Linked DNA regions of Macaca fascicularis. The protein of the gene in region 4 interacts with the protein of the main gene of each other region in a pairwise test. Links are inferred from orthologs where the notes say so. Each region holds a gene or a part of one and is shown on either strand. Other genes may lie near its edges.

Region 1 (4,189 bases), on a different chromosome or scaffold from region 4:
AAATGGTCCCAAATACTGCTAGCTAACCTCTCTATTGCTGCTTTCCAATTTATATGAAAATTGTGTGTTTATTTGCATATCATTCCCATTAAATGAAAGGCTCATCAAAGGCAAAAAAAAAAATCACTCATTTTTGTATTAGTTAACAATTGTGCATTTAGCAATGTATCTGGCACCTAGTAGGTATTACAATTTATTGAATCAGTGGCTGATGGTTCATTTAGCAGAAACACATGGGATCTCTTATATAGCAAGATTCTATTGCATTCTTAAAGTATATGTCAATATATACAGTTTTTAGAAACTCATATCTTTAATAAAATAAAGTTTAAAATTTATATTTATATAAATTATTGAAATATATAATCAGGTTATCTGGCAAGGCAGAGCAATGATTATGAATTATAAATCTGAGAGATTGAGAGTTAATTGCTGTATTATTCCCTGGATTGTTCACATTCATGGAAGGTATTCAACTTATCTGATTCAACAGGAGAAGGGAAATATTTATAGTACAATGTCCTTTCGATTGCAAATGAATTCTAGTTACGTATGTGTCACATTTTTTCCAAACAGTGAAAAGACTTTTTTTTTTTTTTTTTAGTAGATGAAAGTATTTTCATCAGCACTCAACTTCTGAGCTTCCCTTTCTGAGATCAGATATTGTAAAAGACAGTAAGAGAGATACAAAGAACTATTAATTACTAAGCTGGAAGTCTTATAAATACCCATTTAAAAAACTATGTAAGCTATTAAAGTTGACTCTCATATAAAAGAGAGACAACGCTCTGTTTTATTCAAAAAAATATGATTTTGAAAGAATGATGGCTATGGTCATGATAAGAAATATGGCCTTTCATATTTATAATGTGTCCTTCATTCATCTTGGGTATACCAGGAAATGGTAATGTAATTTCTTTGTGGGCAAAGATGGAAAAATAATCCTTGTCTGTAAAACTTTCTTATAACAATGACGACAACAATTACAACAGTGACCCCAAGAAACTATTATAACAAGATGCTAGAACATAGATGAGATTGTCTTGCAATTAGCTATGTCTGTCTGACACACATTTCTTTCTTTGTAAGAGAAATCGTGCCGAGCAGTTTATTCTGTCTCAAAGGTTTTGATTAAAGAAAAAGGAAAACTGCAATTTTTGCCACAAAAAGACAGGTGGCGTAAGCATGCAACTTTTTTTTTCTTTTCTTTCTTTCTTTCTTTTCTTTTTTTTTTTTTTTTTTTTTTTTAATATAAAGTGATTATTTTCTCTCGGTTCTTTGAAAAAGCTCGCTTGTGCTGGGGTTTGTGGCTGAGCCCGGTGACGTCAGTGTGGCAGTGCGGAGTCAGGCGCAGCAGCTCCCTATAAGCAGAGGAGCTGTCCGTGTGCTGAAACGGCCCGAGAAGCTCGCCCGGAGAACGGGGAGGAACATGCTGTGGAGCTCCTCTGCCATATAAACAAAAAGAGGTAAGGCTGCTTTTCTCTTTGATTTACTGGAAAGTTCTAATATGCATGCTCTTCTTTTAATTCCTAGCTGAGGAGAAAAAGACTGTTTGGCAAGCTTATGTGATAGGATAACTGAATAGCAACCTGCTGCTCATCAGCCGATGTGAGGACACTACATATGTGTAGATACATGATCGGGTCTATGCTTTATACTACTTGATGTTGGATATTTACCAACCAGAATGTTATTTAGATAATCATATTAAAAGGAGTGAAAAAGTTAAGGATTTTAGTGTGAATACACAGATTAGTGTAAAGTTAACCAAGCCCAATACATTGTTTCTTTCCAAAATTTATTATTTCTGCTACTAAGAGCCAGATACGAAGCCAGGGGCGTAATTTATATGTTTAATATTCTTAACAGTAGGTTTCCAATGATTCAAAGGCTGTTAAGCATGTTAGTCACAAAGCCAACCAATTTTGGAACTAGTTTTTTTTTTTCTTTGATATTCATCTCACAAGAGCTCTGAATTAATTAACCATATAAAATTCTTTTCTGAACTTGTATATTTGAAAGAGCTTACATCATTATCTCCTAATTTTAGTCCTAAGGTATTAACTTAGGATTTTCCTGAACACTGGATTCTTCCTTTTTCCAGGGCAAAATATTATCTGGGGTTATAGTTTGGTTGTGACCATGAATTACAGAGAAATGATAGTTTTGAATACATGATGAAAATATTAATAACTTTGTAAATTGTTGTTATTACTATAATTTGATTTAAAGAGGATGTTCAGTATGTTGTTAAAGTCTGGGACAAGTATTTCTTTTTCTCTGTTTCCCAACTAGTTGAATTGCTTAAATTATATATAGTTACCTGCATGTGTCAATGCTCTAGTCTGATTTCAACAGAAAAGACATTTTAACTTGAGAGATATTGATGATAGCTGTCAGGGGAAAAATATGTTCTAATTATTTGGATTTCAGAAAATTCAATTTTAAATCAAACCTTATAGAGAGTAGTAGAGCTGTTGAAACATCTTTACTACTTGAAAGGGCTGCTACCTGGGAAAAAAATCCTTTGGGTCTCACTCAAAGGCAGTAACTATGTCATTCAAACTGAAGCAGAATAGATAAGCAAAGGGTAGCACTTGTTAGGCTGTGGTGTAAACAACTGCAAGGAGTATTGTGCTTCAACTTTACAGCAAAGTGCAGTTCCAAGATAATGATTTTAAAGATAAGCATATAATCCATATGTTAAGACTATTTAAGTATTGTGGCTTCAGAGAAAATAAGTTCAATAAGGTTTTTAAGATTATTATTTCAAATCCCAATGTTGAAAATTGATTACCAAAGCTAAATTAATCCTGAAATAATATAAACAAGAGTGCATAATGTATTTTTACTTGAACCTCATTATTTTATGAATAAAATTACTTATAGTAAACATGCATTTATAATAAATACTTTGGAAGTATCCTCTCAAATGCCTTTCAAGATTTTTCTTTCAATAAATTATGTATTCTGGTAAATGTGAATCATTTAAATAAATATATATGTATGCTAAAATGTTTTCATAACTAAGCCATTATTGGGCTCTAAAAAACTGGAAACAAAATCGTCAGTATGATCTTGTGAACAATGGTATTTTCTATAATTGATGTTTAAGCTAACAGAAAATTGTATACATATAACTTAGCTTATCTATCACAAAACCATGATCTGGTAAAGATATGAACAAACTTATAAACTCCTTTTACATTCATTCTGTTTACAACAAAATAACAAATATTAAAATAGTTTTTTTCAATGTTAGCAATATTAAATGTAAGGCACATAAAAACTAATCCTCTTACCAATTCCTATGTGAGATTTTAAGGCACTGGAGAAAAAATGAATGGAGATTTTTAAGTAGGAAGAATTCAGCACATCATCTGTGTTTATTTGAATTGGGATTTACATAGTGGTTATTTTAAGATTTTTCTAAACAGTATGAGTGATTTAAGATTTCACAGGTCCATACCAAAATAGACACAGACATAAGACAAACTGAATCTGAACACTCACAAGTTCAGAAATAGACTAGCTAAAAAAACTTATGTTCTCTCTGTAGCATCTGTTATTATTTACTATGCACTCTTGAGGGCTGATGAAAAGTATAACCACAATTGCATTTTGCAAGACAGTCATAATAGAAATTATTAGAAGAAATATGGAGCAAAGAGATTTTAAAATGCTTTATTGGTTTAGCACATTTACACAAAAAGAAACTTCACTGGTTTAGTCAACTGGCTGGAATCTGAGAAGACCTGTGTTCTAGAGGTTATTTATGGATCATTGGATTTGCTATCAGATTGAGAACAAGTTATTTCTGAAAAATATATGTGGATAGGACTCCCCACAAGGTAATTCAGTATGATTGACATATAACAGAATCACTTTGTCATATATGGTCATGTAACTGCTGCTGTGTTTCAACAACAAAATTAGATGGACACTTCAGGAAATAAACCACATGTTTTTTGACACAACTTTAAGGACATAGTTTGTGGGCGTGTATGTGTACATGCGTGTTTTAAATTAAGCCAACACATTATTTGGCCAATGACTTCACTATATAACATAATCAAAACATCTTGGGAAGTATTTGCTGCTTTATTATAAAGAAACAACATGTACTAAACATCCAACTGCAAGTTCTGTAAATGAAAAAATAAAATTTGAGAAATCTCATATCAGTGTT
Region 2 (4,275 bases), on a different chromosome or scaffold from region 4:
GCCCAAGCTGGCCTGTACCTTTCACGATTCACATCGTCGTTATCATTATCTTACTGCAAGTCTTTGCCTGAAGTCTTTTCATCCAAACCGCTTTCCACCCAGATCTCCTTTTCCAAATCAACCCTCGCCCCAAATCTGCAAAGAACTTCTCATTTCCAGGTCACTTCTCAGTAGAGGGGGAGGTTACAGAAACAGGCCCCCACCCAGCAGTTCTTTCCCTACCCTGCCTCTCCTCTTGCAAGAGGGCAGGGGTGGGAAACGTAGGGAGGGGCCGGGGCTCATACTGCAGTTTCCCCCTTGCTGCTGTGGCTGAGTCTGTGGTAGAAGCGGCGCCACGACTGCAGGGTCTTGCCCGACCAGATCCAGAAGCCAGTGGTGATGCCCACGATCATGGTCATCAAGTACTTGATCATGAAGACGGTGAAGTCGGGGCTCATGGGCGGGAAGTGGCCGGGCGGGCAGGGCACGGCATAGCTCTTGCACGTCTGCAGGAGCCAGGTGCGCTCCCAGTGCTCGCGGAAGGCCTGCTCGTAGAAGTAGCAGGCCAGCACGATGGTGGCGGGCACTGTGTAGAGCACGCTGAAGACGCCAATGCGCACCATGAGCTTCTCCAGCTTCTCGGTCTTGGTGCCGTCGTGTTTCATGATGGTGCGGATACGGAAGAGGGACACGAAGCCGGCCAGCAGGAAGGACGTGCCGATGAAGAGGTAGACGAACAGAGGCGCCAACACGAAGCCCCGCAGCGCGTCCACACTGGACAGGCCAACATAGCACACCCCGCTGAGCAGGTCCCCGTCTACCTGGCCCATGGCCAGGATAGTGATGGTCTTGACGGCGGGCACGGCCCACGCGGCCAAGTGGAAGTACTGCGAGTTGGCCTCGATGGCCTCGTGGCCCCACTTCATGCCGGCCGCCAGGAACCAAGTGAGAGACAGAATGACCCACCAGATGGAGCTGGCCATGCCGAAGAAGTAAAGCACCATAAAGAGGATGGTGCAGCCCTCCTTCTTGGTGCCCTGCGCCACCGTGCGGTAGCCATCGTCCGAGAAGCGCTCCACGCACACGGCGCGGTCCTCCAGAAGGAAGCCGGCCACGTGCGCCACGGCCACCATGAAGTAGCAGCCCGACAAGAAGATGATGGGCCGCTCTGGGTAGCTGAAGCGCCGCATGTCCACCAGGTAGGTGAGAACGGTAAAGAGCGTCGAGGCGCAGCACAGCACCGACCACACGCCCACCCAGAGGCGGGCGAAGCGCCTCTCCTCCTCCTTAAAGTACATCAGGCCGTTGGCACGGCCCGGTTCGCACGGGGCGCCGCAATCGCGCTCACCCAGGAAGCGGTAGCCCAGGTAGGGGGGCACCTTGAGCTGACGGGGGCATGAGAAGGGGAAGGCGGGACGCCCCCTGCCATCTGAGGCCCCCGGAGGCAGCGCGGTGAAGGGCAGGTCCGGCAGGTAGGGCGCAGTAGGGTAGGCAGTGGGGCCGCCGCCTGGACCTCCGGAGCCGTCTGACGTATTCTGGCCCACGCAGATCTCGCCCGCGCCGTGCACCGGGAAGTTCTCGCAGCGCAGCCGCTCGGGCCACTGGAAGCCGAACTTGTTCATGAGCGCCTCGCAGCCCTGGCGGGCGCGCTCGCACAGAGAACGACACGGCGGGATGGCCTGATCGAGCACGGTGCACACGGGCGCGTACATGGAGCATAGGAAGAAGCGGAGTTCGGGAGAACACTGCACCTTCACCAGCGGGTAGAACTGGTGCACCTCGAGGCCCGCGTCCTCTTGGTTCGTGTGGCCCAGCAAGTTGGGCAGGATGGTCTGGTTGTAGGCGATGTCCGTGCACAGCGGGATGGAGATGGGCTGGCAGAAGCCGTGGTCCGGCACGGAGATGCCCTTCTCTCCGTGGTACGGCTGCGCCCCGGCGCCCGCGGACAGCGCGCCCAGCAGCACCAGCATCAGGGCGCAGAGGCCCAGGGACAAGCGAGGGGCGGCCGCGCCGGGGTCCCGCATCGCCGACCACGAGTGCAGCGGTGCTCTCAGCCCGAGGAGTGCGACGAGGCGGTTGGGAGAGGCAAGGATGCGGGGAGGCGCCGCCGCGCCCGGCGCATGAGAGTCCTCACGGCGCCGGGGCCGGGCCGTGGGCGGCGTGGAGCAAAGGGCGCTGCCGCCTGGGTGCCCGCGCCGCGGGGGCGCCGCAGCCGCCGCCGCCCGGCACTCGCAGGGCCGCCGGGGGCCCAAAACTCGTCAGCCTGGGTTGGGGGCGCCGAGGAGGGCCGCCTTGCTCTCCCCGCGAGGACTTAACGGTGAGGCTCCCTCCGCCGCGAGGAGCAACAAGCGGCTCCGGGCACCCTTCAAAGTTTGCCCAAGTCTCTGGACCCCCGGCGCACGGCAGCGCGCACGGCCCCCGCTCCCGGTCGGGCCCCCTCCAGGAGAACCCCCTCCTGGAGAACCCCTGGCGCCGCCGCCCGCTCGCCCCAGCCGCCGCCTCCGCGGTGCTGCCCCGCCTCCTGGCCTCCAGGCTCCGCTCGCCGCCGCCTCCTTCGCCTCCTCCTCCACACCCCACTCCTTCTTCAACCCCAAAACCTCGGCCCCAAGTTTCAGCCAAACGGCCGGCTCTCGCTGAGTCCGATCTCGGCCCCAGAGTCGGGAGCGCGGCGAGTTCTTTTTGGAAATCCAGTCACACTGCGTCCGAAACCGCGAGGCGCTCGTGCCCGCGGCCTGGCCCTGGCCCCTCCAGCCCCGCGCAGCCCCAGCCGCAAGTCCTGGCGCCCGCCGCCGCCGCCCGCCGGGAGGGAGCGCCGACTAACGCCTCGGAGTCGCGCTGGTCGCCAGAAGAAGCGTCGGGCTCGCGGGGTTCCGGACCGGCCCGCCCCCTCCCCTCCCCCCATTCACAAACCACTCCGGGGGCGGCCCCAGGTCCCGGCGGCCCAATGGTAGCCTTTGTTTTTTCGGTGGCCGCCTTTGGATTGGGCGGAAGTCGGAAGGGGCGGGCGCGGGAGCGGCGGAGGCGGTGTCCGCGGCGCTCTGGGCGGATTCCTGAGGGGAGGGGCGGGGGACTGGGAGGGAAAAGTTCGGAAAAACTTTTACCCTGAATTCGCTCAGGGGGGAAAACGCGCAGAAAGGGAATTTGCTTCAAAGATTTGTTCCTTTTCCTGGTGCACTCAGATGCGCATTCCTGAGCAGGGGCTCCTTCGCCAGCAGCTTTTGCGGGGAGCGAGGACCGCGCAGCGCCCCTGCGGGGAGAGACGTGACCGGGAGTCGCGTTAGGACTGCAAAGACTGGCTCTGGCGGGGCTTTCGGGTCGCCGGGTCCTCAATGGGTGGTTTGGGACGGGGCGAGAAGGGGGTGCGCCTTGAGGATCGCTTCTTTCCCCCTGGACCCAAACAGTCCACGCGAGGCCACAGTCCCCGCTCCCCTCTCCCGAGTTGTAAAAAGGAGGAGGGGCCGCCTCAGGAGAAACCCGAGTCGGGCGGAGGGGGCCGAGTGACGGTGGGAGGAAGGGCCCAAAGCGGGGAGCGCGGGGAACCCGGGCTCAGGCCACCCCGCCCGCGCGCACGGCCTGGAGTCTGGGGAGCTGGGGTGGCTCTAGCGAGGTTTTAAGGAAACGAAGACGGCGTTGGGGAGACTGGTTCTAGAAGTAACCTGAGACCGAGCGCCCAGGAACACTCTGTACGACGCGCCGGGCGTCTCAGTGGCCCCGTGTGCTTTGGTTCTGCGGCGTGTGGCCTTTCGGGATCCCATCTTCGTTGCAGAAGCAACCATTAGATCCTCCATTTAGAATCTGCATAGAAATGCTTAAATGCGTCTTAGAAACCAGGCTAATTAAAGAGTTTTCAAAACACAAAGCGGGGTTATCCTCGTTCTCGGGTAGCGTTTTCTGATTGGCAAACGTTCTTTTGTTCTCGGTTAAATCTTCGTCCTGCGCCAGGCGCTAGGCGCTCGCGCGCGCTCTCTCTGGTTACTCCTGGAGGGTCAGAAGTCACCAGGGGGGCATCTCCCCTCTCTCCGGGCTGCCAGGAATATCAGGAATTCCCATGCAGGGAAGTGACATGTTGAGAAGGAAAGGAAAAAAATCAATCGACCTCTCCTCCTCCTCCTCCTCCTCCTCCTCCTCCTCCTCTTCCTCCTTCTTCTTCTCTCTCTCTGTCTCTCTCTCTCTCTCTCTCTCTCTCTCTCTCTCTCTCTCTCTCACACACACACACACACACACACACACACACACACACACACACACACACACACAGAGCAATCCTATGCTTTAAAAAACGTTATTCCGGGCCGA
Region 3 (4,076 bases), on a different chromosome or scaffold from region 4:
TTTGGGAGAGTCAAAAGTTATATGGGGATTTTTGACTGTGCAGGGGTCGGTGTCCCTAGCCCCCACATTACTTAAGGGTTAAGTGTATTTATATAAGTATACATGTAATTTACAAATATAGATGTTTATACATTTATAATATCTAAAGGTAACAAAAGTCTGTCGATACACTGACACTTTTTTTCTGTACCCTGAGGGCAGACATTTCCTCTTCTTACTCTGTATTTTTGTGTAATTTGCAGTTTTTCTAAGAAGCATGCATTCATGCATTACTTGAATGCTTTTTTTTTTTTTCAGGGGATGAAAAGGGCCTTCCTAGAAAAAAGACAAAGACTACCAAGGATGTATGAAGGGAAGAAAGAACTGTGAGGAACTGCGGTACTAAGGATGGCCTGGTGAGCGTCAAATGATGTGTAGCTGGAGGCATGTAAGAGGAGACAGAGAACTCAGGGCCGCCCACCCCTAATCAGACCACCACCCATAGCCACACAATGTTTCTTTGTTGTTTCAATTACAGCGCATAGAATGTTTTAAAATAACACTTCTGATACCAAATTTTAAATATGGTATCATCTCAATGGTGCAAATAATGCATTAAAAATGGGCTGGCAGGAAATATGCCAACCTGCAGTTACTGCCTCTAGGAAGAACGAGTGGTAATAATCATCTTTTTGCTTCTTCATTCTTTTCCATTTTCTAGTTTTCTGTAACCATGTATTATCAGGGAAAAAAGCATACTTTTCAAAATGAATTCCATATTATAGGAGAAATAAAGCCAGTTATTTCCCCAAATAATCCCTGGCCAAGGAGGACCCTCGAGTCAAATAGATAGATATATAAAGGATTCTCTGTTACTGTTAAGACTTCCTTCGCCTAGCTGTGAGTTCCCCAATTCCTTGCTCCACACTTCAGGACCAGGACCCTGTGAGGACTGAGATGGAAACACGTGGATGGGAAGAAAGGGTATTTTCATTCTTTCTTGAGTTACGTTGATTCTCTTCCCTGCTTCTGAATGACTCTGAGGCCTCCTCGGCGCTACCGTCTTTATTTCCTACCATCTCTTCCTGTATATGCTCTTTGCTCTTGTTTTCATATTCCTTCCCTGGTTCGTTTCCCTTCTCCCCTCTCATCCCACTCCCCAAGCTCCTCCTCTTCCTTTCTTCAAGTCACCCATATTGGAGGCAGGAGGGATTTGCAGGATGGGAGGGGGAGAAGGTTGGGTAAATGAAAATATTCCAATTCTATAGTTGAACACTTCCAGGCTCAAGCTTTGGGTCATGACGATGGCTGTCCAGGGAAGGAAGCAAAAGAGAAGATAAAAAATAAGAAAAGCAACCCCTATTGCAAATGTTAATACATTTCCAGTGATTATCTCTTGGTCATGATGGGTGTCACAGTGTGAAAGACTCTCTGCTGTCACAGTCACTGACAACAGAAAAAAATCCCCCAAAGTCAGTGTCACAGGTTACTGTCCAGTGTGTCATTACCATCAGGATCGAATCCTAAAAACTAAGAAAAATTTTTTTAAAAATTAAGGAGCAATTTTCTTTTAAAGTATTCTTATAGGAAATCACGACATCTTTTTTCACAAGAACAGAGACAAAGAAAGCAGATTCACCTAAAGGCACAATACCTGCCAAAAAACCACTCCACTACTTGACCTCACTGGGGAGTTCCTCTTCGCAATTTCTTAGTTCACTGGGAACTTTGCCAGCACCAAGGCCAACAACATTCCTGAAGATGTCATTTCCACCTCAGCACACCCTCCCCTATTTACTGGCTCAGTAAACACCGGGCCCATGAACTAATGAACAAGTGAATGAATGAGAAGGCAGCAGCACTCTGCCGGGGTGCTTACCTCTTCTGGTTCATGGAGGCCACCTGGAGCCACTCGTTGGTGCTGGGGTTGTAGGAATGCGCAGCAGAGATCTCCTGGCTAGTGATCCTGTACCCGCCCACTATGAAGAGGTAGTTGTCCAGGATGGCAGACCCATAGCCCCTGACATTGACCAGGTCGGGAGGAAGGTTGTTGGCCAGCGGGAACCAACGCTCAGTCATCTCCTCGTACCTGAGCATGGACGGGGGCTCCCCCTGGTAGGGGTGAGGGGCCAGGGGTCCCCCCAGGAAGTCCCCGAGGGCCACGAGGACAGGAGTCCCAGTCATCCGGGCCTCCCTCAGCCTCTGCTTCAGGCTGACATCCCCTGGAGCTTGGGGAGGAGACCCCAGGAGGTGGAACTGGGGCTTGCACAGCACCTCGTGGAAGTGGACGACCATGAAGCGCAGGCAGGCCTCCTGCAGGTCGGGCAGCCCGTACACCTGCGCCAGGCGGTACATCTCCAGGCAGTTGTTGAGCCGCACCTGGGACAGCAGCAGCTGCAGCAGAGACGTGACCTGCAGGAAGGAGGCCGCCTCCACCAGCTCGGACAGCAGGCTCACCTCATCCATCTCCTCATCCTCGTCCACCCCGCCGCCCTTCTCCCCGCGCGGGCCCAGGAGCCAGCCTTCGCGGGCCCCGCCGGCGTTGATGAAGTCCAGCACCAGCCTCAGGCCCGGCGCGCTGAGGCCGCGCAGCTGCTGCACCTCCGGGCCGCCGGCCTCCTGGCTCAGGGCCTCGCGCATGCCGGAGCGGTAGAGGGCGCGGAAGTAGTCGCTTTGCTCGATGAGCTTCCTCTTGCTCACCGGGTAGCAGCGATCCTCCAGGCGGATCTGCACCATCTCCTCGGCCGACATGGCTGGGGGCCCCGGGACGGCGGCGCTCACCGCCAGATCTGCGCGCCGGCCTCCCCGCCCCCACGCGCGCGCCGGTTCCGGGCGGGGCGCCGAGGGATGGCGGCCCGGGAGGAGCGGCGAGGTGAGGGCGGCCCGCGCTCGCCCGGCCTCTCCAGCGGCCCCTCCTCCCGGGGCCCGCTCCCGCGAGGCGGCGGCTCTGCCCTTCTCCTTTTCCTCAGCGCCAAAAAAGGGCCGGCGGAGCGCGCCGGGCGTCCTCGCGCGGGCTCTCCCAGGCGGCGCCAGGCGGGAAGGGAATCCCTGCCCCCAGCCCGCAGCCTCCTCCCCTGCCGCCCTTCTCACTTCCGCCTGTGGGACCCCGGCCGCCGGCCTGACCTGCAGGCTGGATCCGGCCCTCGGGGAGGCCCGGGAGGCTGCGGGCCTGGGCGCCCCGGCTGCGGACGCGCAGCTGCGGGAGGCGGAGGGCGCGCGTCCCCGCAGCCTCTCCGCACGCCCGGGGCGCGCGGCTCCGCCGCCTGCCAGGGGCTGCAGCGATGCTCCGGGGTACCCCAGGGAGAAGAAATTAGTTTTCTCTCCCACGCTGCTTTACACGGGCTAAAGAAAAAGAAATGAACGTGGGAGGAAAGAGGAGGGAGTCTCTGGTCCAGGGAGACAAAAAGGCATCAAATCTAGGATCGTCCTTCTGGCCCAGTCCGGCATCGAGTGTCAGTGGGCTGAGGCAAGCAGGCAATCTGTGGACATGTTGGTGGCAATGTTGGTGGCACGTAGAGCTGATTCTCTGGTAGAGTCGTCGCGTAGGAGCCATCTTACAGGAGGTCCAGGCAGATGGCAGCAGGTTCTCAGAGGAATCGGGTTGGGAGGCAGGGGACCTTGCATTTGCCACTGGGGCCCTTTGTTCTCCCTAAGTTATTAAAAGAAAGATGAAAGCGCAGTTCGACTAAATAAAGTTACATCACGTGGCTTCTGGTTTTAAACCACGTTTTCTATGAGCCATTGCTTGTCTACTTCAGTCTGCTTGGACTAGCCATTACGGAATGTTATCCTGTCGCAAAAGATCTGACAAAATCAGCTCATAGATGTCTGCAAGAGGTAGCTTTTCTTGTCACCCCGTTTCTCCACCTACCCTGCCCCCATCATCTGAGGACTATTAAGAGAGATCACACGTTCAGTTTGGCTGAGCGCGATGGCTCACGCCTGTAATCCCAGCACTGGGGGAGGCCAGGGTGGGTAGATCACGAGGTCAGGAGTTCGAGACCAGCCTGGCCAACATGGTGAAACCCCGTCTTTACTAAAAATACAAAAATTAGCCGGGTGTGGTGGCACGCGCCTGTAATCCCAGCTATTCCGGA
Region 4 (3,373 bases):
TTATCACTCAATATGAGAACAGTTTAAGCCTACAGTATTTTAAACATCCTTTTAGTGCTGATAAGAATTTTAAGTATTTTGAACCCCTTAAGATGTAGATATTTATCTTTAGACTTAGACCTAAAGGTAAACATATTAAAAATGAAAACCATACCACTGCAGCTGCTTGAAGGTACTTCAGAGCTTCTCGCCCAGTCCAGTGCACCTATAAGCCTCACCAGTACACGTATAATAAAGAAATCATGACGCCTCAATGTCACATAACTAGTCAAGTACCAAGATCAAAAGTGGAGCTCAAGTCACCTACCTTCCCAGTGTGCTATCTTTTTATCACACCACAAAAGACCATGTGACATTTTAATTGGAAAACCTGAAAAATAAAGAATGTAAAATGTGACAAAATCTGGGGTAAATCAACTTCAATAGCCTTTAAAACACATGGTTAGCAAAAGTTATAGACATTTGTTTTTCTTTCTACAAAAGAGGCAAGACAAATCAAATGTAAAAGCTAGAGATTTATTGTTATTTTGTGATTAATAAATTGTCAAATTAGTTATGACACTATCCCACACTGAATACCACATTCGCCAGTACAGAAGTTTTTAAACCAGACTGAGGCATCAAGCAGAAAGAGCAAAGACACATGAATACCCTTCTCAACAATCTCTACTCATGCCTCCACCATAACCTTTGTACTTGTTTTCCTCCTGGGGAAAGTGTCAGAACAGTGCATGGACTGGTGGGTAACCTGGCCTCTTAACCTTTTTTAATAGCAAGCAACGTACAGAAGTAATGGAATCAACTTGTATTTCCCTTGATTTTATTGGTCTGAATTCATTTTAGGTTACTTTAACATTTTAATTTCCTGTAACTGTACATGAGAGAATATAATCACCTAAGAGAATACTGAACCAGAGTCAGCCAAATGTATTACTGACCCTAAACTCTGTTTTAATTGGTCCTAAAGGAATGTACCACCCCAACAGTTTGGGAGTTAGGCAAACAGAATTCTTTGGGGAGGGAAGAAAAAGGCTATAAAACAGCCAAATGTACTCAACATCATTAAAACGGCTCTTTGTTTTTCACCCCTGAATGATACTTCTTTACTATACTATATGCACAGAAATCCTAACAGAATCTTGGTTGCCAGTATTATTTAAGCTGGCCCCATCCAGGATAGATTCCACTGCCCGCCCCCCCCACCCCGTCCCCCTTTCTGAGGCTCTGAAAAGCACAATATTTAACTATTTCGTAACAGAACTACCAAAACACTCCAGAAACAATTGGCTCACAACTCATTTTAAATTCGTGTATTGCCTGTGCATGAGAAAACAGATAAACCCAAAAGAGAGTTCTATTTTTATATGGCGATTAAAAATAACTGAAACATTTAGACACTTTTTCAGTGAAAGCAACATTTCAATTACAAATTTTAATGCCTGTTAAACTACCTATGGGAGAAGCTGAAAAGTCCTAGGCAAATGCACTTTGGGGTATACTACAGTGTTCCTTCAGTCTGCACAAAGATTAAGGTAATTTACAGTCAATCTGTGAATGAATGTTGAGACAATGTTACATTATGTGTCTGTACAATTAATTGTCCTTAAAGAGATAACCAGAATCAGTTTTTCTACTATATTTTCAACAAACCTGTCTAACCGGCACTTTTGCTGGGAGATGTTTGTCAAAGATGCTGTAAGATTCTATACAATTAGGAAATACTCGGCTTTAAGAGTATTTTCTTATCTTCACTTTTTTGGTTACAGGTGTTTTGCTCAGATAGCCTATTGCAGTATGTTTCTAGAAATGCAGTCCCAAATGTGCATACTCTATATGTATACAAATAAAGCAAAATTATCAGTAGTATAAATCTTACAGCATTTTGTTTGCAAAAATGCATGCCAAAGTCACAATAAGCAATATTGTACCACAAATTAGAGTGCAAATGATTTGCTTCTTTTTAATGCTTTTATTCTACATAAATTACTACCATAGGCTAATGTTTAAAAAGCAAATAAATTGGACAGATGCAGGACAAAATCTGGTCACCCAACTATAAAAGGTGATGTTTTTAAAAAATTACAATAAATGCAGAAGTGATGCATGCAGTAGCCTTAAATGAAAAGCACTGATTCCCACTGTTCCAGAAAAGAAAAATACAGAAAAACCCACACATCTTACTGTACTCCACCTTAAAATGCATCATATTGGGTTTGTTTATAACAGCACAGAATTCCAAGAGTCAAAATGAAATAAAGCGGGTATTTTAAAGTTTAAGAGCCGTTATCAAAAATAAATTACATTTTTTCAAGATACAGAAATGCTGCTATGATGGCTGGGAGCCCAGTAACCTTTCAATAGCTGCATTGATATCACCTCCTGTGGCTATTAGAGCTTGCAAGTTTGCTTCACGGTTCAAAAATCCCATTGCACTGAGTTGTTCCAGTTGTTGCTGAAATCTGACTTCTGGATTCTGTAGCTATTAAAGAAAAAAAAAATTAATCCAACTCTAAAGGAAGCCAATCCATGCCACACCTGACTGACTTTTAAAATTTTTTAATTGCTTTTTTATAACATATGCTGATCTACTGAGCTTCAAAAACACTGCCCACCTCTTGAAACATATCCAACATATTTAAAAGTCCATTAGCACTTTATTTTAAATAGTCTAGTTTATACCTAATCACGTCAAATAGATCACGACTCTACTTTGGTGGGGAAGGGGGGGAAGCTTAATAAACATCAACCGTTATTTTAGAGGATCATGTACGTGCAGAAAAATTTGAACACATATATATATACAAATAGTTCAGAATTAGATGATTTGTATAGCTACTGACCAATTGAGTAACTTATAAAAGCCGGTATCCTCATGTATGAAATTCTAAAGTTTCAATGATTCTTTGAATGAATGTGAGTTTAACTTGCACACTGGACAGTCAATTCTTAGAAAAGAGTTTCAGTTTCAGGCCCAAAATTATACTCTTAATTCTGACAATTCAGCAGCATCAAATCTTTTCTTCAGAAATGAAGTTAAAAAAAAAAAAAAAAAAAAAAAACCCCACATAAATCACATAAATGACCAATCAATCCTAGGCCTACTTGGTAATTCGGAGGTAAGTTAACTTATGTAACAATTAATTCTAATACTCCAAATCCTTCTTTCTTATTTATTCCATGAATACTTACTGAGTACCTACCATGAGCCAGAAACTATACTACGCTGGCTTATCAGGAATACAGATATGTATATGACAGAACACTACTCTGTTTATTGTATTTAGTAAGGCCTGAAAACAGAAAGCAGGCCGGGCACAGTGGCTCACGCCTGTAATTCCAGCACTTTGGGAGGCGGCTAAGGCGGGTGGGATAG
Region 5 (4,164 bases), on a different chromosome or scaffold from region 4:
AAAATATTCTTCTGCAAGAACTACTATGAACCACTTATTTTTTAAACCTAGAGTTGAAAGGCATAAAAATGTCATTAAAAAAATTTTTATTTTAAAATGTCTCTTTAATATATATAAATTAATAAACTTTTTATTTAAAAACTTATAACCTCTTAAATTACTAAAACTCCCTTCAGAAATGAGTCAACAATACTTTATGCAGAACAAGAGAATCATCACTAGCCTTGCAAACGAAAGCTGATAAAAACAATTCAAGAAAAAAAGAGTATCCTAACAAAACAAGAAAAGCAAGCTAAAAATTTTAATCAAAACATCTCAGTGACAAAGTTAATGGTACAAAGTCACAGGTAAAAAATATGGTGACAGAACGTCACTATAAATCTTTTTCCCTTGGGTCTTATGTTTGAAGATAGCTATTTATTCCTCTATTGGTTTAATCTTAAAAGAAACAAACAAAAATATTGAAAGGTAGCTTTGTGTACACAGGAAACCCAGATTCCAGAAAAAGACCCTAATAAATTCAAAATACCCTGCTCTCTGTTAGTAAACAGAAAATAATTATTTGTCCCCTCCAAACAATAAAAATAAAAATGCAGGAATAAGAAACTCTTGCTTTTAAATTTGTATTAAATGTTCATAACTTGCATTTGAGGATCAGTGGGCAATCAGTTAGTTCTAGGATTCCTAAAGAACTTCATCAAGGAACACACAGTAAACAAAATTTTGAATTATACTTAAGTCAGGCATCCTTTCATAAGTGCATGAAAATTAGTGCTGGACGCTAGTTCCTTTGATTTGAATGGGGCGGGGGGAAATGATTAGATTAAATGTTTTCAAAATCACTTGCTGGGAAATCAAGAAGTAAATTGGAGCTCTGAAGTCAGCAGTATATAAGGTAAGGTATGTAATTTCAGAAACACTGCTAAGTTTTACAGCCATTTAAAAACATAAGAACTTGCCAAACCAAAAAATCCTTCAATGGTGTATTCTGCATCATATTGTGTACTCTTAGAACAAAAATAACCTAACCCGCCACAGATAGAATTATTTTTTTAAGAGTGAATGACTTTGTGTTCTGAGATTATATCCCAACCCAGGCCAGTTGTCATATGACGTGAAAGTAAAAACTTAATCATGATAAAACTCAGACATTTAGACAAACTTGGTGGAGTTACCATACAAAGGGAAAAAATTAGCCTGAATTATTGAAATTTTTAAGTGAGGCTCATTTTAAATGTCAATTGCCAGGAAACCATGATCTGGAATAGTATCTTCTTTTCTTTCCAAGGAGACATTTACAGATACTGGTTTAAATGGAGGCCCTGGCCTCTCCTAATTCCTTCCCCCCAAACAACTTCCAACTGGGACCATCAAGGGTCGATCAGCAGTGCAACTGCAAACTAAATATAGTAGCTGACTGACCACAGGGTAAAAACAGCTGCTGCAGGTGGGAAAAAAAAGTTAAAAAGACAAAATGATACCGTCCCATTTTCCCCATCCCACCCTAACCCTACCAAGAAAAGTAAAAGAGGACTAAGTGGACATTAGGAATAACCAAGAATAAAGCTGTTCTTTCAAATTGAGAAATGAAAGAAAAATTCACATTTGTTATTTCTTATAAGACTTCAAATACCTACTGTTAAAGAGGGCCTTCTACTTTTATGGTTTGTTTCTCAAGTTTAATCTACGAATCCAATCTCTACAGAGAAACAGTAACAGAAAGTAATCAGACAACAGATCACCCACACATTTAAACCCAGTTAAAGTTGGCAAGAATTGTATCTAGTTAGGTTTCTACCGTAACAAATGTATTTATTTCCTCGCCCAGCTTTCACTTGTCCTGGGGGAAGAACACAAGACCGAATTGTACTTCTGTTTCAAGAGGTCATTGTAAAAGCGCACTTCGGAGTGTAGACGTCTCCGATCTGTTCCAACATGACCACCTCTTTGGACCAAAGGCCAGAAACTGCTAAACGCGTGCCCTATTTAAAACGTGCATCTGCACCCACTTTTCTAAGTAGCATCGGACCCAGGCGAGGGGCGGGGAAAGGGGCGGCGGGTCCCACTTGTAGCCTCAGGACGACGCGGCCACAGCTTCCTAGAGAGAGATCTCGGCAGACCGGCAGGAAGCACGCGGAGAGGAAGGCGGGGAGGCGGCACGTGCTCTACGTGCTGGGTCCGCCGGGCCGGCCGGGTGACCCTCGCCAGCTGGTGGGGACCGGAGGGGTCCACGCCTCCGGGAGCTCGGGTGGACGCCGAGACCTGGGAGCGGTAGACGGCTCACCTGGACCCCGGTGTAATTCTCGAAGAAGAAGAGCACCATGCTCTGGTAGACGCAGTAGAGCCGGTCGTCCAGCGCCTGGTAGAAGCGGGCGGGCAGGAAGGCGGAGAGCAGCCGCCAGACCCCCCAGGCCAGCACGTAGGTGGGCGCCGTGCCCAGGAGCACGACGCTGGGCAGCAGGTAGCGCATGGAGTACGTGTGGAGTACCAGGGACAGCAGCATCTTCTCTGCTCGGCAGCAGCGGGCTCCGCCTGCGCTCCCCGCCCGCCGCCGGGGCCTCAGTCGCGGCCAGCAGGCGGCCAATCACCGCCCGGGCCCGGGCCGCCGCGCCCGCCACCCGCTCCCAGCCTCCGCCCCCAGCCGCATGGGCCGCGCCGCCGCCGGGGGCCGGGTAGGCGAGTGCGGGGCTGCGTGCGCTGCTCGCGGCTGCAAGGCAAGCGAAGCCGCGGCCCTCCCGGATCCACAGCTCAGGGATGCTCACACCCCATGACCCTCACCCATCGCCACATCCCCCCCGCCGGGGGAGGGGCTCCGCGGCAATAACGCGCCTTCTGATTGGTCATACGTTGCCATAGGTACCCGTCGGAGGCAATAACACGTCTCTTGATTGGTTGATTTGGGCCGACAGTTAAAGTACAGCTACCTACCGGGAGCGCGGGCAAAACCAGCTCAGGCCACTGCGCATGCTCCCCAGCTAGGCCGGCTGCGGACGCTGGAAGGGAGGTGGCGACTGGCGGAGCTAGGTGAAGGTGGGTGCGGGCTGGACGAGGGTTCGGGTGACTCGTCCTGCTCCCTCGGCCGGACGTGCGCGCGGGCAGGTTTAAGGGGCGCTGGAGGTGCCTGGAACGCGCACCTCCTGCTCACAGGCCCCTGGGCGCCGGCATGTACACAATCAGAGCAGTGAGAAAGGGGGTGTTAGGGTTATCAGAGGTCCCAGTCTTGCAGGCACCTGGGCCCAGGTCGAAGGGCAGCTCGGGTGTCCCCGTCTGCTCACTGCCAGTCCTTAGCAAGGGGACGCCGCCTCCTCAGCCTCCCCTTTGAGTGCGCAGCAGCCCCTCCCGCTCGTCTCTCTTTACCAGGGTGTTTCAGAATTAGGGTCCCTGTTTTTCCCATCACAGTAATGATGATAATTACATGTTTATGCATAGCAGAAGAACCACCCCACAAGGATATTTCCATACTGTTTATTAGACCTTTTCAGAATTCACTCTTGCTTCATTTCCTCAGAGCCTGTTGGACTTGTTTCTGATTTTTTTTTTTAAATAAGGAGCCTTTTTTTTTTTTTTTTTTTTTTTTTGTAGTAAAAAGTACTTGCGTGCACATGTAGAATCCATAAAATACATACTTTTGTAGCCTTCACTAAAAGCTAGGAAGGCTGGATAGCTGTTTTATTGATGTTAAAGCAGATCCACAGGCCTTCTGGATCTTTCTCCCCCTCTTTGGCTGCAGTAAAAATGGTTTAATATGTAACCCTTTTCAAGGATAGTTGTACTTTAAAAGAATGTCAAATGCTTTACCATATATATATATATATTCCACCCCCCCACCACCACCATAATGGAAGCCCGTGCTACCTTTAGGCAGGACGGCATTTCAGTGGAAAGTTCTAATCTGGGCCAGGATGGTAGCTACTTTCTTTATACATGATTAACATCAAGTTACAACATCATTGGTAGATGGTGACCTTTGGGGACAAAGCCAGGTGAATAGAGATCTCTCAAGTAACAAGTATTTGAAGGCCAGCAGGAAGCATTACACAGTACAAAGAACTTCTCTCCCTTTCTGTGGCTGCCATTGCCCTGTACTGTAAGAAGCACTAGGTTTAGTACCGGAGGGAAAAAGTCACGGGTGTGGACAATGTGCACAACTAATGCTCCTTATGC
Region 6 (3,214 bases), on a different chromosome or scaffold from region 4:
AGAGAAATTTAAAAAAAAAAAAAACAAAAAAAACACTAAAATTTGTATGAAATGGTAAAAGAACCCAAATAGCCAAAACAATTCTGAGGAAAAAAAAAAAGTTGAAGATCTCCCAATTCCTGGTTTTAAATTATATTACAAAGCTATAGTAATCAAAACAATATGATATTGGCATAAAACCAGACACATACCAGTGAAATAAAATTGAGAGTCCAGAAATAAATCCAAACACATATGGTCAAGTAATTTTTGACAAGGGCATCAAGAAGACACAATGGGGACAGGAGAGTCTCTTCAATAAATGGTGGTGGGAATACAATTTCCACAGGCAAAACAATAAAACTGGACCCTTCTCTTATGCCATACACAAAACTTAACTCAAAATGGATGAAACATCTGAATAGAAGACCAGAAACAAGAGACTATGAAAACAACGGTAGAGTTCTATGTGTTTTGAGCCACAAAGTATTCAAATTACAGCATTAGGGGGAAAAAACAAAGTGCAAACCAATGTGTTTAATTTTTAAGTGGAGATTTTCTGGAGCAGAGCTGCAAGGCTGGGGCAGGGATAGAGGCTCATTACTCCTTCTACCCTTTGAATATTCCTTGTGGGTGATTTAAAGTTTTCTAAAATAAAAAATAAAATAAAATTTCAGAGGGGGGTTGTGGGCATGTCAATTGTTTCGATATTTCTCAAAGTGGAGAGAAATACCTAGTACATATTTTACTTGATACGTTCAGATCACAATGGTTTCTTGAAATAAATCTGTCTCTTGGCTTTAGTTTTACTAACTCTTTACCTAGTATCCCACAGAGCTCATCTCCCCTATAAGCTGATAAGGTCATTGTCTTCTCCACACTGTGACCCACAAGAGCCTACTCACCCCATAATCTCAAAGCCTCCTTCATGAGGGCAGAAATGCCCCTCTGAATCCTGAAATGAATTAGCCCTCTACTCTAATGGAATCCAGCTCCGGCCTCAAGGTCTAGACCTCCAGAGAGTGGCCACCTACACCTTCAGAAAATAAAAGGCATTTGATTCCTGGACTTATTCAATGAAAGCACTGTTCTTTTCTTTTTTGAATATTAAGAAGTAAATATTCCAGCAGATGGAAAATAGGAAAGTGTAGCACTGTTCTTATCACCACTATCAGCTGGGACCAGAACAGACACTCAATGAATAGCCTCACACTTCAATGAAGATTGGAGAACAAAGGAGCATCAAAGGGACCTGGAGGGCAAGGGTAGCTCTTCTGCTCCCCAATTACATGCACACCCCCAACTCACTGCAGCATCTGTCTCTGAGCCTTCTCCCAGCAGACCTATAAATACAGGCTGGCTCCTCACTCCCCACACATCTGCTCCTGCTCTCTCTCCCCCAGGTGACCCTAGCCATGAGAACCCTCACCTTCCTTGCTGCTATTCTCCTGGTGGCCCTCCAGGCCCAGGCTGAGCCACTCCAAGCCGAGGATGAGCCACTCCAGGCAAGCGCTTATGAGGCTGATGCCCAGGAGCAGCGTGGGGAAGATAACCAGGACTTTACCATCTCCTTTGCAGAGGATGCAAACTCACGTATTAGAGCTTTGGGTAAGAGACACCAGCATTGCAGAGCTAGGAGTGTAGAGAGGAAAACCAAGCACGTCTAGAATTAGACCCAACGGCTGGCTCTTTCTCTTAGGTGATCACCTCCCCAGGCCTGAATTACTTCATGTTTGTACTGAAAAGAAAGAATCAGTGATATTCAAGAAATGACTTTTCTCTAAAGATTTTTTAATTCTATGACAAGTCTATGAAATTTTCTAATTTTTTGCTATGTAGAAATGTATTGAGGAGTCTCTACTTCAAGGAAGAGAGCCTAATTTTAAAGAAATGTTTTGTTTTGTTTTGTTTGATGGAGTCTCACTCTGTCGCCCAGGCTGGAGTGCAGTGGCACTATCTCAGCTCACTGCAACCTCCGCCTCCTGGGTTCAAGCAATTATCTGCCTCAGCCTCCCAAGTTGCTAGGATTATAGGCACCAGCCACCACACCTGACTAAATTTTGTAATTTTTTTAGTAGAGATGGGGTTTCACCATCTTGGCCAGGCTAGTCTTGAACTCCTGACGTTGTGATACACTCACCTTGGCCTCCCAAAGTGCTGGGATTACAGGCGTAAGCCACCACATCCAACTGCTAAAGGAATGTTTTTTAATCTGACTTTTATAGGAACCGTTGGTAGCTGGAGACAGTCATACATGTGCATTCAGACGTGTGTGTGACAGGGCAGGAGCAGATAAGTGCAGCATATCAGAATGGGTCTCTAATCCTGTGTGCGACCAACACTGCTCTGCATATTTATTCCTATTGATCATGCGATCATGCTATTGGCTGTAATGCAGCCAGCATTACATGTCAGCAAGCATGCAACTTCCCGAAGATTCTCTTTACTGCCCGCTGCTGACCCTGGTACTCAATGTCTGATGCTCTGTCTCTCTCTGTCCCCAGGCTCAACAAGGAGTTTCACTTGCAATTGCAGAAGGTCCTGTTATTCAACAGAATATTCCTATGGGACCTGCACTGTCATGGGTGTTAGCAACAGATTCTGCTGCCTCTGAGGGATGAGAACAGAGAGAAATGTATTCATAATTTGCTTTATGACCTAGAAGGAAACTGTTTCATGCCCTATACTTTGTCATCAACTTTGTTTCCTCATCTCAAATAAAGTCCTTTCAGCAAGTTCTCTGTGCTTGTGCTTTTCTGATGTTTGATAATTCAGGATCTTCAAATGCAAAAACAAAAAAACCAAGTCTTCTCTCAAAACACTAGCTCTTCCAAAGAGTTTTCTATGTACACCAGAGAAATGGTAGAGAGGATGTTGAGAGAAGAGAGGATTTGCGTTTTTGTTTTTTGTTTTTTGCTTTCTGAGATGGAGTCTTGCTCTATTGCCAAGGCTGCAGTGCAGTGGCACGATCTTGGCTCACTGCAACCTCTACCTCCTGGGTTCAAAAAATTATCCTGCCTCAGCCTCCCGAGTAGCTGGGATTACAGGTGTGCACCACCATGCCCAGCTAATTTTTGTATTTTTAGTAGAGACAGGGTTTCACTATGTTGACCAGGCTGGTCTTGAACTCCTGAGACCTCAAGTGATCCACCCACCTTGACTTCCCAAAGTGCTGGAATTACAGGCATGAGACACCGCACCTGGCCTTAAGCACTCCGTTTTAATGTTAATGCTG
Region 7 (3,149 bases), on a different chromosome or scaffold from region 4:
ACGCCGGCTGCCGGTCCGGGCCTGGGCCGACGTGCGCCGCGAGAGCCGCCTCTTCCAGCTGCTCGGCCGCCTCCCGCTCTTCGGCATGGGCCGCCTGGTCACGCGCAAGTCCTGGCTGTGGCAGCACGATGAGCCGTGCTACTGGCGCCTCACGCGGGTGCAGCCCGACTACACGGCGCAGGTGCGTGCACCCCGTCCGCACCCCGCCCCTGCAGCCGCCTGGTCTCCCCGCCTCCCCTCCTCCCTGCAGGTTTGCGTGTCTGAGGCTCCCACCTCCTGATCTCGGGGGCCGAGAGCCTTGCGAGCTGACCTCGCTTCCCTCTGGTTTTGCAGAACTTGGACCACGGGAGGGCCTGGGGCATCCTGACCTTCAAAGGTAAGGCTCGGGAGAGCTGGTGGAGAGCGGGTGCGCGGCAGTTCGATGCCGACCACCGACGGCACAGCAAATGTGTGTGCAGCACACCTCTTTTCCTTCATCAGGGAAGACGGAGAGCGAGGCGCGGGAGATGGAACACGTCATGTACCATGACTGGCGGCTGGTGCCCAAGCACGAGGAGGAGGCCTTCACCGCGTTCACGCCGGCGCCGGAGGACAGCCTGGCCTCCGTGCCGTACCCGCCGCTCCTCCGGGCCATGATTCTCGCAGAACGACAGAAAAATGGAGACACTAGCACCGAGGAGCCCATGCTGAATGTGCAGAGGACACGCATGGAACCCTGGGACTACCCTGCAAAACAGGAGGACAAAGGAAGGGCCAAGGGCACCCCCGTCTAGAATGCCAGAACCAGAGGGTGGCCTGAGGGGCTGTGAGGCAGCAGGGATCTTGTAGATGAAAGAAACCGTCTTCGCGTTACACCCGAGTCTGCCCCTCGGAGCTGGGAGGTCACCTTCCGCGACGTTTTCTGAGGATCTGCATTTTAGTGGGGAGGGCTGGGGCAAATCGCCACCTATGTTTTTCCTCTGGCCCTGCTGCCCCCACACCAACTCCGCAGGCTCACGCTGGGGAAAGCGGGAAGCGCTAACTCCCCTTCCCCCATTAGTGCTCTCTTTGCCTGGATCCCGGCAGAAGCTATGAAAGGGAATAAAGAGAAAAGAAGTACCCCGGGTTGCGGTGTCTGCGCGCTGTCTTTAGGACCGGGGAGAGAAGGGCTGATGTTGTGGTCTTGGCCCTGGCCGGGGGGCGGGGGCTCGGGCGGTGCGGAGCAGGGCGCCGCGTGGGTGGAACCACCTGGGCGGGTTGTGGGGGATACAGTTAGTGTCCGAGCCACTGGAGGAGACTTGGCCTCCGCAGCTGCCCTCTGGCCCCCCACGGCTGCTGGGTTCCGGGGTGCAAGTGAAGCAGCCTCCCTGAGTGCGTCCGCGGAGGCCGCCGCGCCGGGACCAGGCCTCTTTAAGCGCAGGCCCCGCCCCGGGCGCCACCGCCCCGCCCCGCGGAGCCCGCGCCCGCACCGCCATCATGATCTGCCTGGTGCTGACTATCTTCGCCAACCTCTTCCCCGCCGGTGAGCGGAGCGGAGCGGCGCGGGCGGGGGGTGGGCGGCCGGTGCTGGGCCGGTCTGACGCCACGTCCCCGCCTGCCCCGCAGCTTGCACCGGCGCACACGAGCGCACCTTCCTGGCCGTGAAGCCGGACGGCGTGCAGCGGCGGCTGGTGGGCGAGATCGTGCGGCGCTTCGAGAGGAAGGGCTTCAAGTTGGTGGCGCTGAAGCTGGTGCAGGTGGGGGCGCGGGGCGCGGTGGGCGAGCGGGGGCGCGGTGTGGGGGGAAGGGGGGCGGGGACCTGGGGACCTGGGGACGCCTGGGTGCCGGGTGCGGGCGCAGGCGGCCTGACCCTTCCGCAGGCCTCTGAGGAGCTGCTGCGCGAGCACTACGCCGAGCTGCGTGAACGCCCGTTCTACGGCCGCCTGGTCAAGTACATGGCCTCCGGGCCGGTGGTGGCCATGGTGAGTGCCCGGGAAGCGGGCGGACGGCCCCGGGACCCCACCCCTGCGTGATACCGCCCCCGTCCCCCGCACAGGTATGGCAGGGGCTGGACGTGGTGCGCACCTCGCGGGCGCTCATCGGGGCCACGAACCCGGCCGACGCCCCGCCCGGCACCATCCGCGGGGATTTCTGCATCGAGGTTGGCAAGTAAGGCTCGCCCCGGGGACGGGCCCAGCCCCGTCCGGCCTCCCCCAATTCGGCCCTCGTGGGACCCGTGCCGGAGCTCTCCTTCCCGCGCTCACGCGCGCCTCTTCCGTTCAGGAACTTGATTCACGGCAGCGACTCGGTGGAGAGTGCCCGCCGCGAGATCGCGCTGTGGTTCCGCGCAGACGAGCTCCTGTGCTGGGAGGACAGCGCCGGGCACTGGCTGTATGAGTAGCCCGGCAGGTGCGCCTCGCAGAGGCTCTGACACCCCAGCCTCCTCCAGGGGCCAGGTGGCCGGGCTTCTGGCCCCACCCCGCAGCGCTTGGAACATCCACCTGTCAGGACGTTGCATCGAAGGTGGCGGGGGCCTCTCCAATCCCTGGCGTACAGGGCTTCCTGCCCGAGGAGCTGCTCCAGGAGCCTGCGCGGCTCGCCTGGAAACGTGCCAGGACACTGTCCTGGTGCCCAGCCCAACATGGTCCAACGTTTCTTTTTATAATAAAGTGAAGTCCTCGTTTTCGTGTCGGTTTGGGTCCAGAAACAGACGTTTATTACATACAGAGCAGATATGTGGGTTTGCTTGCAGGGCCAAAGCCTGAGGAGAATCGTCACCCCTCCCCCAGCCGCACCACTGCTCAGCCCGGAGTCACTTCGAGATCCTGGGGGAACAGACGAGGGAGCAGACATACATCACAGTGGAGGTGGCAGGGATGGTGGGGAGAAGCCAGCAGCGCAGTGGCTGCAGCCCACGGTGGCCAGCGGGGCTTGTGGGGCAGCTCCCCAAGATCTGTGCTTCTCTGGTTGGGGGTGGGTGCGGGGGCTGGGCTGCCCTCATCAGGGCCTCCCAGACAGGAGTGCAGTGGGCCTGGAAGGTAGGAGTAGGCCAGCGAGGCCCGGCTGGACAGGGAGAGCAGTCCAGGGTGGCCTCTGCCCGCTACGGGCTTGGAGTCGGCTAGGGGCGGCTCCATCCTCAGCCCCATGGGCCTCTGCTTGGTGGCCTCTTGCTCCCGGGGAGCAGGCCACAG

Evidence for each region.
Region 1: the proteins of UBQLN1 (region 4) and SCG2 interact in binary tests that used the Homo sapiens proteins (3 or more experiments, as listed by UniProt). The two-hybrid records come from large-scale screens. The link is inferred for Macaca fascicularis from reciprocal best matches to the Homo sapiens genes UBQLN1 and SCG2.
Region 2: the proteins of UBQLN1 (region 4) and FZD7 interact in binary tests that used the Homo sapiens proteins (3 or more experiments, as listed by UniProt). The two-hybrid records come from large-scale screens. The link is inferred for Macaca fascicularis from reciprocal best matches to the Homo sapiens genes UBQLN1 and FZD7.
Region 3: the proteins of UBQLN1 (region 4) and KLHL42 interact in binary tests that used the Homo sapiens proteins (3 or more experiments, as listed by UniProt). The two-hybrid records come from large-scale screens. The link is inferred for Macaca fascicularis from reciprocal best matches to the Homo sapiens genes UBQLN1 and KLHL42.
Region 5: the proteins of UBQLN1 (region 4) and AGPAT5 interact in binary tests that used the Homo sapiens proteins (3 or more experiments, as listed by UniProt). The two-hybrid records come from large-scale screens. The link is inferred for Macaca fascicularis from reciprocal best matches to the Homo sapiens genes UBQLN1 and AGPAT5.
Region 6: the proteins of UBQLN1 (region 4) and DEFA6 interact in binary tests that used the Homo sapiens proteins (3 or more experiments, as listed by UniProt). The two-hybrid records come from large-scale screens. The link is inferred for Macaca fascicularis from reciprocal best matches to the Homo sapiens genes UBQLN1 and DEFA6.
Region 7: the proteins of UBQLN1 (region 4) and NME3 interact in binary tests that used the Homo sapiens proteins (3 or more experiments, as listed by UniProt). The two-hybrid records come from large-scale screens. The link is inferred for Macaca fascicularis from reciprocal best matches to the Homo sapiens genes UBQLN1 and NME3.

What each region holds. Positions count from the first base shown.
Region 1 is NC_088386.1:119,541,411-119,545,599, reverse strand, and holds the start of SCG2 (secretogranin-2), read left to right. Parts: upstream 1-1,389; 5' UTR 1,390-1,466; intron 1,467-4,189. UniProt on the Homo sapiens protein: Neuroendocrine protein of the granin family that regulates the biogenesis of secretory granules.
Region 2 is NC_088386.1:97,857,375-97,861,649, reverse strand, and holds the start of FZD7 (frizzled-7), read right to left. Parts: upstream 2,801-4,275; 5' UTR 2,004-2,800; coding exon 279-2,003; 3' UTR 1-278. UniProt on the Homo sapiens protein: Receptor for Wnt proteins.
Region 3 is NC_088385.1:30,523,537-30,527,612, reverse strand, and holds the start of KLHL42 (kelch-like protein 42), read right to left. Parts: upstream 2,801-4,076; 5' UTR 2,731-2,800; coding exon 1,859-2,730; intron 1,288-1,858; coding exon of another isoform or gene 1,242-1,287; exon of another isoform or gene 1-1,241. UniProt on the Homo sapiens protein: Substrate-specific adapter of a BCR (BTB-CUL3-RBX1) E3 ubiquitin-protein ligase complex required for mitotic progression and cytokinesis. The BCR(KLHL42) E3 ubiquitin ligase complex mediates the ubiquitination and subsequent degradation of KATNA1.
Region 4 is NC_088389.1:114,273,281-114,276,653, forward strand, and holds the end of UBQLN1 (ubiquilin-1), read right to left. Parts: intron 2,480-3,373; coding exon 2,327-2,479; 3' UTR 501-2,326; downstream 1-500. UniProt on the Homo sapiens protein: Plays an important role in the regulation of different protein degradation mechanisms and pathways including ubiquitin-proteasome system (UPS), autophagy and endoplasmic reticulum-associated protein degradation (ERAD) pathway.
Region 5 is NC_088382.1:7,082,835-7,086,998, reverse strand, and holds the start of AGPAT5 (1-acyl-sn-glycerol-3-phosphate acyltransferase epsilon), read right to left. Parts: upstream 2,801-4,164; 5' UTR 2,504-2,800; coding exon 2,285-2,503; intron 1-2,284. UniProt on the Homo sapiens protein: Converts 1-acyl-sn-glycerol-3-phosphate (lysophosphatidic acid or LPA) into 1,2-diacyl-sn-glycerol-3-phosphate (phosphatidic acid or PA) by incorporating an acyl moiety at the sn-2 position of the glycerol backbone.
Region 6 is NC_088382.1:7,297,027-7,300,240, reverse strand, and holds DEFA6 (defensin-6), read left to right. Parts: upstream 1-1,352; 5' UTR 1,353-1,394; coding exon 1,395-1,587; intron 1,588-2,483; coding exon 2,484-2,593; 3' UTR 2,594-2,714; downstream 2,715-3,214. UniProt on the Homo sapiens protein: Host-defense peptide that contributes to intestinal innate immunity and mediates homeostasis at mucosal surfaces by forming higher-order oligomers that capture bacteria and prevent microbial invasion of the epithelium.
Region 7 is NC_088394.1:2,535,351-2,538,499, reverse strand, and holds NME3 (nucleoside diphosphate kinase 3), read left to right. Parts: upstream 1-1,431; 5' UTR 1,432-1,455; coding exon 1,456-1,501; intron 1,502-1,584; coding exon 1,585-1,715; intron 1,716-1,838; coding exon 1,839-1,940; intron 1,941-2,014; coding exon 2,015-2,127; intron 2,128-2,241; coding exon 2,242-2,359; 3' UTR 2,360-2,649; downstream 2,650-3,149. Other genes in the region: MRPS34 (small ribosomal subunit protein mS34), read left to right, coding at 1-181, 334-376, 481-773. UniProt on the Homo sapiens protein: Catalyzes the phosphorylation of ribonucleosides and deoxyribonucleoside diphosphates, other than ATP, into the corresponding triphosphates with ATP as the major phosphate donor.